Styela clava: one gene and its partner. The protein of the gene in region 2 purifies or fractionates together with the protein of the main gene of each other region. This does not show direct contact. Links are inferred from orthologs where the notes say so. Each region holds a gene or a part of one and is shown on either strand. Other genes may lie near its edges.

Evidence for each region.
Region 1: the proteins of exportin-6-like (region 2) and zinc finger matrin-type protein 2-like purify together in Homo sapiens (co-immunoprecipitation; 3 studies listed by BioGRID and IntAct, with this or other methods). This does not show direct contact. The link is inferred for Styela clava from reciprocal best matches to the Homo sapiens genes XPO6 and ZMAT2.

What each region holds. Positions count from the first base shown.
Region 1 is NC_135251.1:24,957,017-24,967,650, reverse strand, and holds zinc finger matrin-type protein 2-like, read left to right. Parts: upstream 1-3,958; 5' UTR 3,959-4,083; intron 4,084-4,645; coding exon 4,646-4,824; intron 4,825-5,219; coding exon 5,220-5,634; 3' UTR 5,635-6,599; downstream 6,600-10,634. Other genes in the region: uncharacterized protein LOC144419940, read left to right, coding at 242-435, 718-866, 1,237-1,359, 1,695-1,930, 2,441-2,554; tRNA (adenine(37)-N6)-methyltransferase-like, read left to right, coding at 6,623-7,386, 7,839-7,959. UniProt on the Homo sapiens protein: Involved in pre-mRNA splicing as a component of the spliceosome.
Region 2 is NC_135256.1:14,541,623-14,552,256, forward strand, and holds exportin-6-like, read left to right. Parts: upstream 1-4,195; 5' UTR 4,196-4,243; coding exon 4,244-7,699; 3' UTR 7,700-8,410; intron 8,411-8,452; 3' UTR 8,453-9,281; downstream 9,282-10,634. UniProt on the Homo sapiens protein: Mediates the nuclear export of actin and profilin-actin complexes in somatic cells.

The DNA.
Region 1 (10,634 bases), on a different chromosome or scaffold from region 2:
GACACCGAATCTGTTTAATTATTTTATTACTTATGAAATTGTATTGGTGCCTCTGATGACACCCCAAAGGTTTATCATGGCATCCCAGCCATACACAGAAAGCCTCTTTTATTTATAAATCTATGCATATTTTGTGCCTTGCTCTCTTTTATCTAACGCGCGTTAATATTCAAAACAAAAAACCTTTACTGTTCGTCACGAGTAATCTACCAGTTGTTGGGAACTTATTTGCTTGTTGCAGGTAAAAAACGGCGGGAAGTCAGTTGGTGAATGGGGTGAATTCCATGTTAATAAGTACAGTCGGATTTCATGCGGAGGAGTAAAGAACACTGCTGTCGTGGAAGCAAATGACTGGGAAAAGAGAGTCGAAGATGATGTTTTTGTGTGGACTGCACCCAGTCAATGTGATTTTTCTGCACAGTTTTATATACCTACGTAAGGAATATTTCATAGTCTTTGTTTTTACATACTGCAATTGAACACATATACGGTAATAATTTAAGATACCATAACCGTATTTTAATAATACATCTCATGAATAGTTGGGTCTCCAGCCAAAAGCAATTTTTATATGATGATCGTTTTATTAACTTTTACCATAGTTATCGGTAGATGCTATGTGATCTTGTAAAAAACGAACGTATTTTTTAATATCATTACTCTATATTCTAAGCAAACGTGCTGTTGATATATTTTATGTTTTTAATGCTTCTGCAGGGTTCGAGTGATTAAAAACGACAACGAATACTCGCCTAAAATGGTAACGCGTCTGGAATGTATTCAAGACACAAACGACCCACATGCGATGCCGGAAATGTATTCAGGAGATGCATGCACCAACAATCACACTAAGATTCCTACAAGCAGTAGGAATTATTTTCATATAAAGAATATTTTGATATATATAGAATTATTTGATTGTTCGTGTCATAAGAGACCACTGCGACTTTAGAAAAGAGCGAAAGACTATGTCGTGACAGTGAGATAAATTGGGAGATATCTAAATATTAAGCAGAATTAAAGACCTAATACACCGGTAAATAAACTATACCTGGACTGTGCAGACCAGTTCCGTATTATCGGATTTTCTCTCCCTAGCTTTAATACGAGTAAAAGCCTATTCAATCACAAACATTTTATTGATCATGCAATATTAATAAAAAAAATTATATTTAGGAACAAAATTTGTTTCCGAGAAAAAATATTCATATTTTTAATTTATTTTTAAATTAACAGATACTGGGTTTGAAACAGATTTTGGGGGATGGTGGAATGAACCAACAGCGGCATTGAGATGGACAAGACAATCGGGACCAAGCCCGTCCCCTCAAACTGGTCCAATGCAGGCTATTGAAGGAAGTGAGTGTTTACGACCATCTTCACGATTTTATAAAACGAATTGAGTCATTTGTGAGAAAACCTACATTTATATCGATCGCACAGGTGTACATTTTCACATGGACCTAGATTGACACTTTCTACAGTAAAAGCCTAACCAAATCATCGTTTCTTTATATAGAACCAGAATAAATGCCTAATCTTATACGGCTACCGGGTGCGAAGTAGATATAAATCGAGATTATAATTTTTATCCCGGTAGGCCGATTCGATAACATTACGCTGTTGTAATCATAATATAGGGATCATCACATAGGGATATTTCAAAGCATCAACGACGAATTATATTTCTTCAGAATGGTACATTCATGCTGAAGGAAGCTATCCAGCTAGACCAGGAGAGCAAGCAATATTAAACAATCCACCTGGACTAGAAGGTTGTGCTTGCGTCAGAATAGAATGCCATATGTTCGGTGGACCAGGATTAAGATTCGACTTCAAAATCAACGGTGATATTTCCTTCAGTCATGTCGTGTCTCTGGATGAGTGGATCCGTGCTTATTCGACTGTAAATGTTCCTGGTGGTGCCTTGGTGAGCGTTTTGTGTTCATTTTATGTTTGCTATCACAAAAAAGACCTGGACAAACGAATTGATTGCAATAAAAATCTGTTCCATGGAAAAATCGCTTCCGCCTGGTTGTTCGGCATCAGCAGTCCCATGTCGTCAATTTGGTACAACCCGAGTTATTTACTACTGAATCAGTCAAATTTTGAACAAGTTCAATTCATCTGAAGTTATCGATATAGGCTCAAAATCTACACAATAAAAATTGATTTTGTGAATCAGTTGGAAATCCACATTATTTAATATTCTGATCCCAAAGTTATATTATAAATACCAAACAACAAAATAGCATTCTCTATATCGGTAATGTGTGTGATCTGTTAATGAGTAGAAAGCATCTTTTGATGTTTCTTCGTCAATTTCAAACTCAAACCTCAAATAACAATTTTTTTTTTAACTGTGATCCAACTCGTTATTTGTGAGCTAATATCTTATAAACACGTACAGATCAGGTTGTTAACATTCAACTTTTCATAGGTCCAACTTGTCATGACAAGAGGAGATGATTTTCGAGGTGATCTCGCAATTGATGACATCACAATAGAGCCTGGAATGTGTGCCGAGGACGTTCGTCTCAATAAAGTGCTTTGAATCATTTGAATGCATCACGTGAATTTGCGATGGAAAAATGTATTAAATTTAAGCACAAGAACATTTTGTTGTATTAGTAGTATTTATTGTTGTTGAACAGACACAGCAAACTTTTCCATAATTTGTAAGCAAGTCAAACCTAAATGTAGTTGCTAATGTGATATAGTCAGTATTTCCATGAGAGTAATATTACAAATATTTACTACCCTCTGGTTTCAGTGCGTAGTCCTCGCAATGCCATTCGTAGGATAGAGATAAACGCTGTGAGTAACTAGTATAAATCTTAATAAATTTAGGCAATATAATGTATGGACGCTCATTGTACACAAAACTTCCCTTGTTGTGAAATGAGGATCCAATACGACAGTGTTCATAATTTTCAGATTGCCATTATATCTTCAGTATTTTATCTTGTTATTTATGAGTGGCCTACACTACCTCTGTTGGACCGAATTAAATATTTTCTATAATCTATAGCAAGCTTTGGGGAAAAGCACGTCGGAAAGTCCGATCAATATTATATGGCGATTTGCGGGCACGCCATAACGAAGAACGCAGCGCTCTCATAGCGCAAAATTACCAACAATCTTCGCCGAGTTACTGTCAGAGAAGGCCGCCGCCAAAGCAGGGTTGCCAGATCCCAGTGATGAAAAAAAGCCAAATTAAGACGAAAAAGGCCAACAATTTTACTAAGTAGGCTACAAAAGCCCCATGATTTGATGCTACCATGGCGATTTCCACTTCAGCGAGATGACGGGTTTAAAAGTAAAAATGATGAATTGAATGACAGCACCAGAATGTACATTCGACATAATACAGTTAAGCTGACATCCATATGTAAAAGTTAATAAAAAATCAAAAAAAAAATAAATATTAATCGGACAGCATTATTCAACAATTCAATATATACACAGAGTGCCGATTCAGTATGTGATATACCTTAAAACATTCTCCCTAAACATTTTGAAACCATCAGTTTTATTAAAAAAAATTATCGAACCACGTGCCGCTTACAGGTGTACTGATAGCTTATTTTAGCCAAAGTGACTATGTCACTTTGTACCTAACCATTGCAAAATTGTCGGTGCTCATTTTAACAGTGGTTTCGCGATTTGGCGCCTGTAAAGTGGGAACAATATGTTCTTTGAAAGTGCTAGTAAAGAATTTTAGCCTAGTCTATCACAGCTATTTCTACACTAATTTTTGATTACTGCAACTAAACTGAAACTCCTAAGAAGACAACGTGATCCTTGAATTATTTAATATATATTTAAATATCCGAAACACAACTGGAAACTAACAAATAGATTTCAAAAAACGCGAAAACGAGGTAATGTTCACCACGCCTGAAAATCTATCTGAAAGACAAAGTGTCTGAGCTGATGCGAAAATGGGCATTGTTACGTCCCTTTTTGCATCTTGCTGATTGGCTTATGTCACGAAGTAAACAAATAAGTCGATGCTCGGGAAAACACCTGCTGAGTCTTCTGTGGGCCAGAACTGCGAAATTGCTCTGAAACCATTGTAAAGTAAGGGATCCTAAATTTACCTTATTACGTCAAACGTCACTCTGAGGTTAACCGGTTACGGTATGTTAGTCGTTGCCGGTTACTGGTGTGTTTCACTGAAATTCTACTGTCTATATATTTGCCCATATGCTGGTACCGTATAATGTTAGGTTTCCTTCATGCACGACGTGAATAAAATATCTGAATCCTAGGAGATCCTCCGCTCTGTAGGATTAGTTTTTTTTTTAGTACAAAAACGTCATAAAAAATCATGTCGGGTATCTGATTACTGGAGTACCGTATGGGGTTAGTTAGCCATTCTGTGCCGTCAGACCGTACCGGTACGGTCAGACGTAAATGTCGAAATGGCAGGTAAAAAGTCTGCATTTAAAAAGTAAACATACATTTCTGTACTGCAGTGACTACAAACATCAGTAGTTCAGTGAACGTTCAGTAGTTTATAGTAGTAGACTACCATATGTATTTTAATATAGTCTAACTGAATCTGTGAGTGGTTCACAGAAACAGAGTTACCTTCTAAATTATACTGTTATGGTATCTATAGTTATAGGAAATATTATAGATGGAGGCTACATCATCTGATTATGAAGACCACAGGAAGAAATGGGACAGAGATGAATATGAAAAACTTGCACTGGAACGACTGAATGAAGAGAATGAAAAGTCTGAGGAATTTAAAGATAAACCTGTGAAAAGAGATTTGTTAAAAGCAAGAGATTATAAAGTTGATTTAGATTCCAAGTAAGGCTTTTAAAAATCCAGATTTCTTGTTATTCGATATGTACAACTCTCAGTTCCAATGCGAACATTTATATGATTTTTGTGCTTTTTGTTTTTTATGCTGAAGACTTCTGTAATGACTCAATTTTATAATTAATGGCATAAATATAAATAGAGCATATCAACATATATGTTAATAGGGATATCGTACCAGTTTCAGACTCAATTGCTCACATTTTACTGCAACTCAAAATGAAATCATTACTTTTGTCACTTGTTAGTGGTTACAATGCTGCAATGTATCGGTACTATCTTGCATATGATTGAGTGACTCTTAATTCTTTGATAATTTTGTCTATAACTGCGTTTGAAAAGTAAAGAACTCATTGGTATTCATTTTTGTAATTCTAATGCAGACTCAACAAATCTGTCGTAATCAGTAAAACAACAGCAGCTGCAGATTGCGGAGGATATTATTGCAATGTATGTGATTGTGTTGTTAAGGACTCAATAAACTTTCTGGATCATATTAATGGTAAAAAACATCAACGAAATATGGGAATGTCAATGAAAGTTGAACGTTCCACGTTATCCCAAGTGCAAAAAAGATTTGAAATGAACAAGAAAAAAATGGAAGAAAAGAAGAAGCAATATGATTTTGATCAAAGAATGAAGGAACTAAAGGAAGAAGAGGAAAAAATGAAAGCTTATAAGAAAGAAAAGAAAAAGAGAAAACGAAAAGCACAGGAAGAATTGGAAGTGTCGAATGATGACTCTGACATTGCTGCCATGATGGGTTTTGGAGGATTTGGTGGTGGCAAGAAACGATGACAGCTGGCTTGCACAGTATTTTGTGGTATTTTCAAGTACACAATTCCAGATATTGTGGTATAAAATTTTACAGATTACTTTTTTATTCTCAAATATTCCTTTGATCAGAAGTGCTGGCATTTTTAGGTATTGTTTTTTTTTTCGAAAGCATTGTACAAGCATCACAAATTTTCAGTTTCAACATTTCCTTTCCAGTTTATTATACTATACACTGGGTCAGAAGTCATATGGAGGTATAGTATTTTTTAATTCGTATGACCTATAACATTTTTATCCTAATGGAAAGGAAATGTTTCAAATTTGTGTGTTAGTTCGATTTGACAAAGCCCCAAGTAGAACGCTTCAGTGGCTCATGATAGATAAATATGGAATAATTTAAGTTTATGAATATTCAAACTATTGTATCACTGTTGTGGATGTAAATAATCTTAGCTCTTTTTTTTGGAATTGACAATGGAAATATACCCGAGTATTCTGATGAAACAGTCTTTACCAAGTAACACTTTTTTACAAATTCTGATGTTTTTAATTTATTGTCAGTGGGTTAAATATGTATTCTATTATGTTTTTCAATATTTGGTTGAGAACAATCTGTTCAAAAACTGTGATTGAATATTTTGGTGTTGTATCTAATATCTACATGATATTGCTGATATAGGATCATTTTGCACATACTGATAGTTGAAATTTACCATATTTTTATTGAATATCCTGAATGTAGATATAAATGCATCAAGATTATATCTTGTGAAACTTGATTTCAGTGTGCAACAAAAGCTTGATTCATGTCAGTCAAATTTATTATGTTACAGTATGTTTGATATCAGAAATGATAAGAATGTGTAAAATTTGCCATTTAATTTACTGATAGGATTATAAAATATCATACTGTCTGTCACAAACATCCATTTCCCAATCAGTGAAACTCATCCTTCAGTAATTGTTTTTAAATCTTATCATATTAGGTTATTATAATATTCATCTAAATATGGAAACCGTTTCTTTAAACCCAATATGCTGTATGAGAACCTGTTTTAAAACTAAAAATGGTACACCAAGACAGCCTTCTATATCTTCTAGCACGAGGGGCCAGCTTACAATCGATAAATCTATTTTTACTAATCCTGAACATAGTCTTGACGGATTAGAGGAATTTGCCTATGTATGGGTGCTTTTTTCTTTTCATTTGAATCAAAACAAGGGCGTTAAAGCGAAAGTGAGACCGCCAAGACTTGATGGTGCCAAACGTGGTGTGTTTGCTACAAGAAGTCCACACAGGCCAAACCCAATAGGGTTGACACTAGCAAAGCTTGAAAAGGTAAATGGTTCTACATTGACTTTATCAGGGTTGGACATTGTAGATGGAACACCAATATTGGACATTAAGCCTTACATAAAACAATACGACTTTCCATCTGAAACTGACAGTGAAACTGAGTCTGATAATAGTAATGTTGAAACTTGTGTGAAGTCTGACCAAGCAACAAGAAAGCGGGATAACACTGAAAAAGTGGAGAGCTCCGAATCCAATGAACCAAGTTCGATGAAAAGTACACTACCTGATCTTATCGTTGTATTCACATGCAGAGCAGAGGCTGACCTTTCGATATATAGCAAAGGAAATAAACTTGATGTAACTTCTGAATATAGGTTGGAGCATATTAGCAATGCAGAAGATCTGAGATCGTCAATAGAGGATATTTTGAAAGCAGATCCCAGATCAACCTATCGCAGAAATAAGTGCTGTGATAGGTGAGATGATTGCTATTCTAAATAAAATTTCCTAATCAATCGAACCTTTGGGTTGATAGGTCTTTTTATGTGCTGAATTTGAGCACAAATTATATCATTCAACCAATTCCAGCAATTCGATTTACATTGATATGTTGCCACACTCAACCTATCATCTGTGTGGTGTCACATTTACCTTAAAATAGACATTCTGCTGTGAAAAATCATAAATGAATGGCGGTTTGAATGCATGCCCACTACATTTTTTTATTTGATGTACAATGATTTTAGCTTCTTGCAAATCAAATTATATTTTTGTTATTCAATATCATGTTACAAACTTAGTTCCAATCAGATGGTTTTTATTACAAGTTTAAAAACAATATCCTTACCCAAACTTTGCAACATATATTTTTTATTGATCTAGAGTTACAATGTATTGAAAATCATGTGAAATATGTTTTATTTTCCAGATTATATTATTTTCTGATTGATAACTGTCATGTGACTGCTTGGTTCGACTACTCTACATTTCCAAACACTGCTGAAGTATTGCGGGTGAAACCAGAGAGTAAGATCGTGTCAAGTTCATAGAACAACATTGTTACAAAAAATATACAACAGAAAACTATTCATGTATGAAGTACATTTCGATGTCGATCTGTACAATGTAAGATCTTCCACCCTACTGTGTATGTAATTCAAGAGTCCAACTATCACAAATGCATTTCTGTGGAGCTTCCGTCTGGCCAAAGTCAGGCCTCCTCTCCATTGTCATGCAAAATATATCAAATATGTTTTAAATCGGGGCTTGTCAAACTGGAGCTCCCGAGCCCTCTGTGTGGGTCGCGAGAACGCGCAACGGGGTTAGCGGTAAAATCTTCTTCGACACTGACTTGGAAGAATTGGAACCAGTACTGAGACTCGCCATTACTGAAATAGAGCCGATATGCGCTCTTTTGTGCGAGAATATGCAAGCTCATTGGGATTGTGGCTTTTGTTATTTTCTGTATTAACAGATTTTAAATACTCAAGGCCGCGAAAAAATTCGAGTGCGTTTCGATGATAGAAGTTTTAATAACACTGTTCTGAATAATCAATCAAAATTAGTGTATAACAATCTGTTGATTACATAAAAGCCACCTCATGGTGCTAGACAAAAGCCCAATCAGATCACTGTCAAGCGGAGAGGAAAAGAATCGCATTATATATAGAAAAATAAATTGCATTTCAGTTATGGAATTAGGCCTGCGGTGGGTTTCATAAGTGTTATCCTGATCGGGATTGCGTTCAATTATTAAAACTGTGCTCTTATCGCTTCACTCAGTGAGTGATAGTTAAATAAGTCTGTGTTTAGTGACCATTCGTTAGCGAGTGAGAGAGAGATTTTATTTTTTTTGTCAACCAAAATAAAATAACAGTCACCGCAATAATGACGACCTGGTGCAGTGCAACGATACGTCGTGCAAAAGCGGCTATCCAGACGCATTTCTCACAATTTCTTCGGCCTGAAAAAAACTAAGTTAAGTTTCTCTTCTAACTTCCTATTATTCCATGTTCTCAAGTCCTTGAATACCTATATGAATAATATGCGGATACTTTTGTTGTTTCAGTAAAATTTTATTGTTGGTTTTCAAACACATCAATTTAGACTTTCTTAGAATTATCAACCGTCATAACTTTTTTTCACGGGATATAATTGGGTTGGGCTAAATAGCCCCAAGCCATTTCCTAAAGACTAAGGTTTCACATTTGATTGGGACATTTTCATGCATTGGTAATTAGTATAAAAGCTATCCTATATTCACTGAGTAATACCCCTAATTCACCTCCTCACTCAAAACCTAGGCGCGCAGCCAGGATTTTTAAAAGGGGAGAGGGTTTAAAACCGGAAATTCCCATTCCCTTATGAAACAGTCGCCGCGATTACGCGCTCGTTAAAATAGACCTCTTTTTTTTACCGATTTTTCTGTCACGTAAAATATTCAATTCATCACAGCTACGATAATCTAAAATTTCCTTCTATATTAATTAAATTGTGTACAACGTAACTCGTGGTTTCGTCTTCTTTTGTCAAAATAAAAACATTACAACTCTGAAATACCACGTCAATCTGTTGCCATAGAAATATGAGATGAACTGCCTTAGTGTATTTAGTTTTGATACTTATTTTTGCGATCTTGCGAATTCGTTATCGCCGTTAGAAAAGATCTGATATAAAATCACGTAGAGTACAATTTAATTTAGTACACAGAAAGAGCGAGAGTTAATTCCATCTTGTCAAACCAAGAAAACAATAAATGCATACATATATATATAAATATCAAATAAAAAGATGTTTTCGGTACATGACTGGGAGGCAACGATACGACCTTTGAAAGTCTTCAGGGTCAGTTGTCATTCAATTAAATGAGCATAAAAATAACAGGTTCGGTGTCTATATATCAATACCTCTCATGTTTGTTTACAATATTTACATGTTTATTTTATTTTCGAAGCGAAAGTATGGTATACGCTCTTTCAACTAACCGAATTTGACACATATTATATTGAATTTCGAAAATATAAAAATACAATTAAATACATATTAAGTATATTAGTGAAATCCCCGTGGAACGACTTTTTCTACGAATAATGATGATTTTTGAATATTCAAAAATATTTGCTTTATTGATTTAATTGTTTGCAATTTGACCTGTGGTTGCGTACTTGCGTTGGCAAAATAAAAGCACTACTACCCTAAAATACCGCGGCAATACACGGACATAAAAATGTGTGGTAAATTACCCCATTATATCTTCCTTTGATAGATATTTTTGCAATCTGGACAAATCTGAGCTGTATACTTACAACACTGACTCCGCTCTATCGCAATGCTGCCTCTCAAAATTATTGTCAAGGTAAAACAGTTTTTGATAAAGTTTACAAAGCTTATTTATAGATAGGTGTAGTTAGTGACATATAATGTGATGCACTTAAACAGCCGAAGTTTTGTTAATTTCTTAAATACCAAACACCATTTACATAATAATTTTTGCATTTCACTATTATTGCAATTTACTATATTTATAACAAAAAATTATAAATGTTTATGTACGACTATCCAAATCATTTTTGAACAAAGTTTTGATAAAGAAAGAGTAATACATAAACTAAAAATGACTTCGAAATAAAATTTACAATACCACAGAATAAACTCAATGTTTTTATATTACATATGTCGTGACCGGTATGTTAGTCGTTGGTCGTGACGTTCGGCATCTCTTGTG
Region 2 (10,634 bases):
CTCAAAGGTTATGTACCAGCGTCGTGTCACTGAAACCTAGCCAGCTCGAAATACACTATAGCCGTATTGTCCGTCCGAATTTTCCCAGTCACACGGTGACGCCAAGATACATTGCAGATAGGGCGGTGGAACACCGCGGAAGACCACTGTGAAGCTAGCAGCACTTTCAGCCAGAATATTATTACACATTGAATATAGGTTCCACGCGCATATAGTGTTCACTTATAGGTAAATATGGAAATTGAAAATGCTGATCAAAATATAATATTGGCACGAAAATAGATGAAAAATCTTTAAACTAAAATAATACATTAAATTTAATAAGAAAATAGTGTTTAAAAAAAGACCAACTAAGCGAAAAATGAATTTCCAGGCATTCCGCAAATACAAAGTTTCGGAAAATTATCCTTTTCCGAACCTCGATTCCTCGAAAACCGCCAATAAAGGCAGCACCACGACACATTTGGAGAAAAACTGATACCCTATAAATTCGATATTTTTATAACAGAACAGTAGCAGCACGTTTTGGCTTGACCATATATATTACCAAACATATCGTGTAATCTAAATTTTAATAACGGCATGGACGTAACAAATTTAAAATTGATTTTGTATTTCAACTAAAATTGCTAGACAATGGATCAAATATAATGTTCTCTTTGTCACACATTAATACTGTACATCTTTTAAACTTGGAATACGTTGCGGGAAGTATAAAACAGCAAAAAAACATTTGCGACTCCTAGTGGATTCTGTCCTGGATTACAAAAAATTATCGTTTTTAAAATGGCGATTTCTCGAAAACCGCCAATAAAGGCAGCACTACGACATATTCGGATAAAAGCACATACCTTATAGATTCGATTTTAATATGCCAGAACAGTAGCAGCACGTTTTGACTTGGCTATATATAATACCAAACATAGCGTATACTCTTCAATTTTATGAACAATGTGGACGAAACAAATTTAAAAAGAAATTGTATGTCAACTAAATTTGCTGAACAATTGATAAAATATATATTTTTCTCTTTGTCACACATTAATACTGTACGTCTATTAAACTTAGAATGAGTTGCAGAAGAAAAGTATAAAATACCAAAAAAACATTTTACGCCCTCTCGTGGATTCTTTTCAAAATTTCGAAAAATTATCGATTTTGGAAGGGCGATTTCTCGAAAACCGCCAATGAAGGCAGCACTACGACACATTCGGAGAAACGTAGATACCCTATATATTTGATTTCACTATAACAAAACAGTGGCAGCATGTTTTGACTTGGCTATATATAATACCAAAATAGCGTGTATTCTCAGTTTTATAAACAATGTCGACGTAACAAATTTAAGATGGATTTATATTTCAACTGAAGCTGCTGGAAAATTGATGAAATATATTTTTCTCTTTGTCACAAATGAATACTGTACGTTTATTAAACTAAGAATTAATTGGGAAAGTTTAAAATACGAAAAAAAAAAATATACGCTTTCTATAATGGGTTCTTTTCTGAATTCCGAAAAATAATCGTTTTTGAAAGGACGATTTCTCGAAAACCGCCAATAAAGGCAGCACTACGACACATTCGGAAAAAAGCAAATACCTTTTAGATTCGACTTCACTATACCATAACAGTAGCAGCACGTTTTGACTTGGCCATTTATAATACCAAACATAGCGTATATCTCAATAATTTGAATAGCGTAGATGTTCACATATTTTAAAAAGGTTTGGTATTTCAAATAAACTCACTTAATATCGTAATATTCCGTTTTCTTACTTTTTCAAACACCGATACTGTGTGTTAATTAAACTTGGAATAAGATGCAAATCGTATAAAACAATGAAAAATGTCTTACAACCTATATATAAAACGTGCTGCTACTGTTCTGACATAATGAAATCAAATCTATAAGGTATCTGCTTTTCTCCGAATGTGTCGTAGTGCTGCCTTTATTGGCGGTTTTTGAGAAATCGCCCTTCAAAAACGATTTTTTTTTGAAATTCCGAAAAAACTCCACAAGAGGGCGTAAAATCATTTTTTTGTTATTTTAGGATTTGCCACTTATTCCAAGTTTAATGAACGTACAGTTTTAATGTATGACCAAGAGAGAAAAGTATTTGATGAGTTATACAGTAAATTTAGTTGAAATACCAAATCGTTTTTAAATATGTTACATCTACATAGTTAGTTAAATTGAAAATTATATGCTATGTTTGGTTTCATATATGGCCAAGTTAAAACGTGCTGCTACTGTTCAGACATATTCATATCGAATCTATAGGGTATCTGCTTTTCTCCGAATGTGTCGTAGTGCTGCCTTTATTGGCGGTTTTTGAGAAATCGCGATTTCAAAAACATAATTTTTTGAAAATTTGAAAATAATCAACAAGAATGCGTAAAATGATTTTTTGTTATTTCATACTTTCCGCAACTCATTCCAGGTTTAATGGACCTACAGTATATATGTATGTCTAAGAGAAAAAGATGTTTTATAAATTATCTAGTAAATTTTGTTGAAAAACCAAACCATTTTTAAATATGTTACGTCTGCATTGTTTATAAAATTTTGAATACACGCTATGTTTGGTATTATATTTGGCCAATTCAAAACGTGCTGCTACTGTTTTGACATAATGAAATCAAATTTATAAGGTACCGTTTTTTCTCCGAATGTGTGCCTTTATTGGCGGTTTTTGAGAAATCGCTCTTTCAAAAACGATAATTTTGTGAAATTTGCTAAAGAATCCACATGAGGGCGTAAATTTTTTTTTGGTATTTTAGACTTTCTCCAACTTATTCTAAGTTTAATGAAGTGCATTATTGTTGTGTGACAAAGAGAAAAATATCTTCTTTGATGAACTATCCAGTAAATTTAGTTGAAATACAAAATCAGTTTTAAATTTGTTGTATATACATTGTGCATAAAATTGAAAATTATACGCTATGTTTAGTATTATATATGGCCAAGTCAAAACATGCTGAGACTGTTCTGACATAATGAAATCGAATCTTTGAGGTTTCTACTTTTTACCAATGGTGTTGCAATGCTGCCTTTATTGGAGGTTTTCATGAAACGACCGTCTTAAACGGCGAAAATTCAGTCATTTTTAAACAACTCTCAAAATAGTATAAAAAAATGTATGCACTGTAATAGTCGTTTTAGCTTGTTTACTATATATTAACAATACGAGTAGTGTAGTTAATGATTGTTTTGCTTTATTTGCTATTGTAAAACTAATCAAAATATACACTTTCTTTTAAAAATCATTGGGAACATTTAACTTTACGCGTGGGTATTTTCTGCGATTCTGTCAGTCACAATTTCGTGATTTGCTGCTAGCTTCACAGAGGTCCGCGGAAGTCATGATTAGAAATTTACATATTGGTCGTTGTCCCTGTGTGCCATTTCGTAGGTGAGTTCCGCATAGTACGGTGATATCAGAATATAGTAAAGGTGTACCGGTACGGTACTCTAACTTTCGATTAGAACTAGTTTCCTTTTCGTCAATAATTGTTTCTGTCTCACAATACATTACAAATTTTTCGTCTCTTGGTGCTATTCTGTATATTATGTGAAAATAGACGTAATAATCCTGTATCCTGTACAAATCGATGTAATACCGTAGCTTCAGTATTCTGGTATTACGTTAGATAACAAATTTCTGAATATATCTTATGCGTAATAATCTGTATCCTGTACAAATCGATGTAATACCGTAGCTTCAGTATTCTGGTATAAGATAACAAATTTCTGAATATATCTTATGCCTTATGCTTGAGTTTTTGTCACGGCTTTCTGTACCGGTATTTGTTACTGTATTTTGTATTTAATGCCAGAATGTAGGACTGAGCAGCAATACTGCAATAAGAGCACCTGAATAATGAACATAGTACGGTAGTCTAACAGAGATTTGTTGTCGTCAGTCTACATGCAGACATGCCAGCATGTAGGAAATGTACATCTCACATGACAGGAAAAGAAGTTTGGGACTGCAGTATTAGTATGCGGATACCGGTATCAGGATATGGTAGTTGGCCAAGACAATAAATACAGAAATATGAATAAACAAGATAGGTCCTTGTTTTCCCAAAGCTTTTTGAGAGTTTTGCAATATTTATTCTACTTGAACATAGTACAGTAGTATGCTACTTCCCATTTCTACTCTCTTTCTTTTCCACACATAAAAATAATTCTTGTTTTTTTCTTGTTAAAGTAAATTTATTCAACTAGTTTATTTGCATCATGGGGGACGACGGACACTCTCTCCATGCTTTGGAAAACATTATGACAGAATTTTTTCATACATCAACATCAAATCATAGAAAAAGAGAGATTGAAGAACAATTGGATCGATTCGGACAGCAGAAAGGATCGTGGAAACATTGCCTATATTTTTTTAATCGCACATCGAATGAATACGTCATGATGTATTGTTTGTCAGTTCTGGAAAATCTAACTAATAAAATGTGGATGGGTGTGGACGTTAATGAGAAAACCGAAATACGTGCCAGTTTGTATCGCATATTGATTGAAAAACATAAAACTGTTGCTTCATTTATCAAGAAGAAGCTTCTGAAAGTGATTGTTGATATTGGTCGACTTGATTGGCCAATGTTTTATCCAGATTTTTTCACTAATATAATATCACTAGCATGTCCACCAAATGATGAAGAGACCCGGACAATGGGTTTGAATGCTCTTCGTATAATCTCAGAAGAAATGGCATTACCTAGAGAAGATCTGCCACATCAGCGAAAGAAAGAACTCAGAAGATTTCTTCTTCAGCAAGCACCTGGAATTCTACATATTATTTCTGACACATTAGAAAAAGAATGGAAAAAACATTCCCGCGTTACAGATAATGATTCGAATATATTTATTTCTTCATCTCCACAGCAAGTGAATTCAACAGCATCTGATCTTATGGGATTGTTTGAAATGGGTGATTCTGACAGTCTTGGTTATTCATCTGAAACATTACCACCATTTTTGCCTGAGAAATCACACAAATTGGCTTTAGAAGCTTTGGAATGCCTGTGCCATTTATTCAGTTGGATACCTTTGTCATCCAACATTTCATCACGATTGTTAAATGTGTTATTTGCTTACACACGATTTGGTGTTCATTCATCTCTGATTACAAGCAAAAATTTTGGTCAGCATTCCAATATGCCAAATTTACCTCTTGGCACTCTAGCAATGACATGTATAAATGAACTTATGGCAAAAAATTGTATCCCTAACAATTTTGAAGACTATTTACTTAGGGTGTTCAAGTTTATTTTCCATTTTCTCAAACATGTGACCAAAAATGAGAATCCGAGAGCAGATTTGGAATTATTGGATGAGGATTATTTGGAGAAGTTTACAGAATTTTTGAGACTGTTCGTCAGTGTACATTTTATTCGAATTGAAAGTAACTCAAACTTTCCTTTATTGGAATTTTTGGAACTCTTGTTTAAATTCACTTTCAACCAACCAATGTTTGATGGTTACTACAATTGTTTGGATATCTGGGAACTATTCCTAGATTTCCTCAGTAATAAGTTAGAAGGAAAGGGGGAAGATGCTCGTATGATGGTTCTTGCCCCCTATAAAGAAGGTTTACATTTGCTTGTGAAATTAATTATGACTCAATTACAGTATCAGTTCAATCAGAACAGACTTGAAGAATTGGATAATGAAACACTTGATGATTCAGGCCACACAGAATGGCAACAATTTGTGATCGAAAACTTGGAAATTGTAGCCAAGATATGCAATTTTTTTCCATCTGATACATTATCATTATTATACCCAATATTAGAAGAGAATGCAGCCATTTACCTTGAGTTAGGTAGGCATGTTCTACCAGTTAATCAAAATTTATATGTTAAAACCAGCGATTTTATGAACAGTCCGGCTCACAATCCAAACCGCCAATTCAGTATTCCTGGCTCTAATGATTCGCTAAATCGTATTCATTGTGCATTGAAAGATCTTTCTACAGTTTTACAAGCATTGGGTCGCTTATCGGAATATTTCATTGGAGAACATTTTCCGCAAAGAACAGAAGCCATGTCACTTATTGATAAATTTTTGACTATTTCTGTTTTCGGGAGCAGAATAAAGTTGTATGAAATGCAAGCAAGAATACCAACTGTTTTGTACTCTGATGTTATAGAGGTGCATGTCCAATCTCTTGCAACCCTTCAACCTTTCACTCATTGGCTATTTCAGCTGTATACAGATTCTCAACAAGCTGGCCACTCTCAAGCTAAATTAGAAGATATCATGCAGGGATATTTAAATGCTCTTATTCCAATGCTCAGTCCGGAAGTCCCTGACAAGTTGGTACTTCCTGCTAGCCACACCTTGTTATCTGCCATAAACACCATTCGTGCAGCATTCCTCCTGAAGTCGCCCATCATTGACAAGTTATATAGTGACGTTGCTGGGGGTTCATGCGGTAAACTGTCAATAGAATCACAAAAATTGGTGTATCGGTCTCTATCTAATTTGCTTCTTCTACCCTGGCCAAATACACCAGATTTGGAGCAATGTTGGGATGCAAGACAGCAAAATCATTCTGCATTCATCAATGCTTTGCTAAAAGAATTTCTATCATTGAGTGATAGAATTCAGATGGTTATACAAAATAAAGTTGAAGCAAAGCAAATTATTATTAAATCACTCCATATTCTTGAAGATCTTGTGAATGCTGTGGGAGAAGAAATTGTCAAAACGAGACAGATATGCCATGTATCCCTGCAATCTTCTATAGAACTGTGTCTTGAGTTATTCCCTATTTATATTGATCACCCTGATGTTACAGAATGTCTAATGGGATTTTTTCTCGCTGCTTTTCGGGGACTTCGGTCCCAAATGGGTCATGAAAAAACTGTGCGAATGATACAAACTTTTATGAAGGTTTTTACACCAGATGTCCTGGAGAAAACAATTATGCATGAAAATTCTGCAGGAGTGAGAGCAGTCGAACATTTTATTAAAATTTTAGAGCTTGTTATTGATGAGTCGACAACAACATTTAAATCTCTGACCCAAAGCATCATAACTTTGGCAATTGATCAGATATACCCTGTGGTTGCACAACGTCCATCACCTGATGTGAAAGAAGCACTTTTCAGTCTACTATTTCACATTCTGTCACGCAAAAATCGACACTTTTTTCCAGCACCTGTGCTCGCTTCCTATCTTACAGGTGATAAGGTTGGTGTGCTTAATCATAAGAAAGACTTTCTTGCTATTATGCAAGCATTTGGACAGTCATTTCTGCAGCCTGATATCAGTATATTTCGTCACAATTTAAATGCCCTTGATAATCTGAATTTAAAACAAAAATTGTATGAAAAAATTTATAAACTTCTGGCAGATGAGAATATATTGTTCCAGTTTATCACTGTGTTAATTCAAGCATTGGTTCAAAAATCACACGATTTATTGAAGGAAGAAATTTATTCGACAACTTGGAATATGGCGGAGGTTGATTTCGACATTTTTTACAATAAATTTTTGCCCCAATTTTTAAGAAACTTGGATGGTATTACACCAGGACAAAAAGACACACTTTATAAAAGTTTCAATAAGGAATCTGATCAACCATCATTTGTGTTATGCTTACAAAATTTTGTCAATGATCTGAGATATTTCTATTTATGCAATGCTAGTTTGCCAGAAGGTACTGTTAATTTTAACTAATGGAGATTAGTTACGAACCAAGTCTTCCAAGATATAATATTTTTTAAACGTGCATAATATAATCAGGGAGGATGAATGATAAAATTGCTTTGTGTCAACAAAACATATTTAGTCCAATATTTTAATGAGTAACTTGTTATTGACTTGACCTTATCTCTAAGCTGTAATTGTTGACTACATGGGGACCTAGAACTATAGCGACATCTCAGACATATCGACCGATATTTTTCACATGATAAATGTTTTACCGTTTATCATCAATCCTCGTATGAAACTACAGATGAGTGTGGCGCTTTTGTCTCAAAGTTCATGTCAAACTTGAAACAATAAGTCTATGCAGATTGCGTAATTTTTTTTTTGAGGTTATGCCTGAGTTTCGAAGAAGAGTTGAATTTACATATTCTTAACCTGAGAAGTACAGTACTCAAATTGTGTATTTTGTGTGTTTTACTAAAATCACTACTTAAAGATGCTTAATTGTGTAATTGAGTAGGACTAAACTGAAATCTGTATTGATTCAATGTTAGCACCTTATTTTTCACTACTTTGAAGTAAAATATAAAGTACAAACAATTGATTTTTCTCAGTATATTAATTTATATCTCCCGTTCCATGTTTTTTATTTTCTTCGTATACGTTCCCTAGTCATTATATTTTTTTCTAATGTATTGAGCATTCATAGTATTTTCCAATTATTTTATCATAATTCAGGCATCACAACTCTGTTATAAATTTGAATAATTTGTTCATAAGTAGGTCATTTATTGCTTCATGTTATGACACGCGGCAGCCCTGTATACCTAGATGATTAAACCAATGTATTAGTCATCTTGAATGCATTAAAATTCTTCTTTTGGAATGCAATGTAATTTTTATTGCTCTAACGTCATCTATTTTGATTTGGCCACTATGATTCATCGGATAGAATTTAATTTGTGTGTGTGTGTGTAGTACAGGGTAACCAGTCAATTGGCACAGAGCGTAGATTGGCAAGCTTGTCATAAAATAATTTTTAATCTAATAAATAATATCACAAGACTTCTACTCTTTTATATATCTTATGTAATTAATTCCACATATTTCCTGAACTAGGAAGTTTGATGTTGATTCATTAAATTAAAAAATTTTTGGAGGAAAAATGAAGGTGATGATGCAAAATTTAACAAATCATTTCCCACTATTTGCTTATTGTTAAATATCTTGTGTAATCTAGCAATTGTCTACGGTTTGATCTAACAAAAGGATAGCATTAAATGAAAATTGACGATTCTAATTTGCTACCAGATCATCTGTATGCAGTTATTTCATGATTCATTCTACTTGAATAGCAAGTCCCGAACTTGGAAGTCAAATATATATGATTCCTAAGATTCAGATTTTTATATTACATTTACTATATACAGGTAATAACAGTTTTATTTCGACCATTATAACTAATTAATAACTAATCGTTTTTTCTTGTGCATGTGCCATTTGTAATTTTTTTATGTAATAATCCCATGTACATTTTTAATGTATATTATTTCACTATATCTGAACTATGATATATTTATCCGCATTCAATATCTCGCTTTCAAACGTTTTCGAGTTGTTCAATTTCGTATTTATTCCAAGGGTGGGAAAGCTAAGCAGCAAGAAAGCTTAATTCATGGAAATGCCACATCTGTAGCAAACTGATAGTCAAGATATGGATATGGTAAGAGTTTCCCAGCAGGAAGTAAAACAGGAATGGCGGCCGAATACTATGGCGAGCCCATCGTCCAGTCACTGGGTAATTTCGGGTATGGTTAGCCACTTCTTCCTTTGAGATGATGCATGAACTGTATGGTGGGGGGAATCGAACCGTGACCTGCCAAATGGGAACAGATACCGACAACGACGTTTCAGATTATTTGGCTCAATGTTGTGATTAACAATATGCATCTGCATGTTTTGGATATGTTCTTGTCCCGTGAAGCTATTTCTATGTAGAATAAGGTCTTAAAGTCGTTCAGTTGATTCATTTTTCTATGGTGTAAGTACAGCTGTTACTGTTGTTATTATGCCTAGGATGGCACATCAAGAACGGATGAGCGATTACAGTAGTTTCTGTGCCGGTGAATAAATTATCTAATTGGTCTCTCTCACGGGATGCGAAATCCGTGTTCGTCCTTGATAGATTTTCGGAATGCGATATAAATTCGAGATATCGGCTGGAACATTTTTAAATAAGCACAGTATAAGGAAAAGGGGATTCGATTTACATATTTATCTTGGAGGAGAGAAGAGTCGATAAGACGGATCAATCATGTGGCGAACCACGGCCACTCGGTTACCAGCTCTTGTCGGGTATGATGTTAGTAAGCCAGTTATTTGTTTCAGCTGCATGGACTCGATAGTGGAGCAAGCAGTTACCGACAAGTGATTACGTAAACTGCAGCGGCGAGAGGAGTTCAGCAATCCGTTGCCCATCGGATTCGAACCTGCGAACTCACGCAGGGTAAACAGAGGTGCGGTATGCGTCATAACGCCGGGCCCCGAATCGACTGAGACAAAACGAACTTTTATGAAATGAAGGGTCGAGCTGAACCTTTCAATTAAAATGTTCGAGTTTTCCGTACTTTGATAGATCGGTTGAATTTTCGCATCCACGTGTTCGTATCTATTTTCGGAATGAATAAATGAGGTCAAAGGACTATTTTGTGATAACAGTACATTGTTTCCAGGAATATATAGCGATGAAAGTAAACCAAGCACGATATATGAATAAATATCCTTCGGTCGTATACACGAAACGCCATCGCGGTAAGCTTGCAAACAACAAATATTTGAATATTGCACTTCGTGCAAAAATTAATGAAGTGGTCTAATTTGACTACTTGACTTTGAATATCACTCGTATCTGTAATTCATATGCAGCGTTTTTGCAGAAAAATAAGACTGAATTGAAACCTTC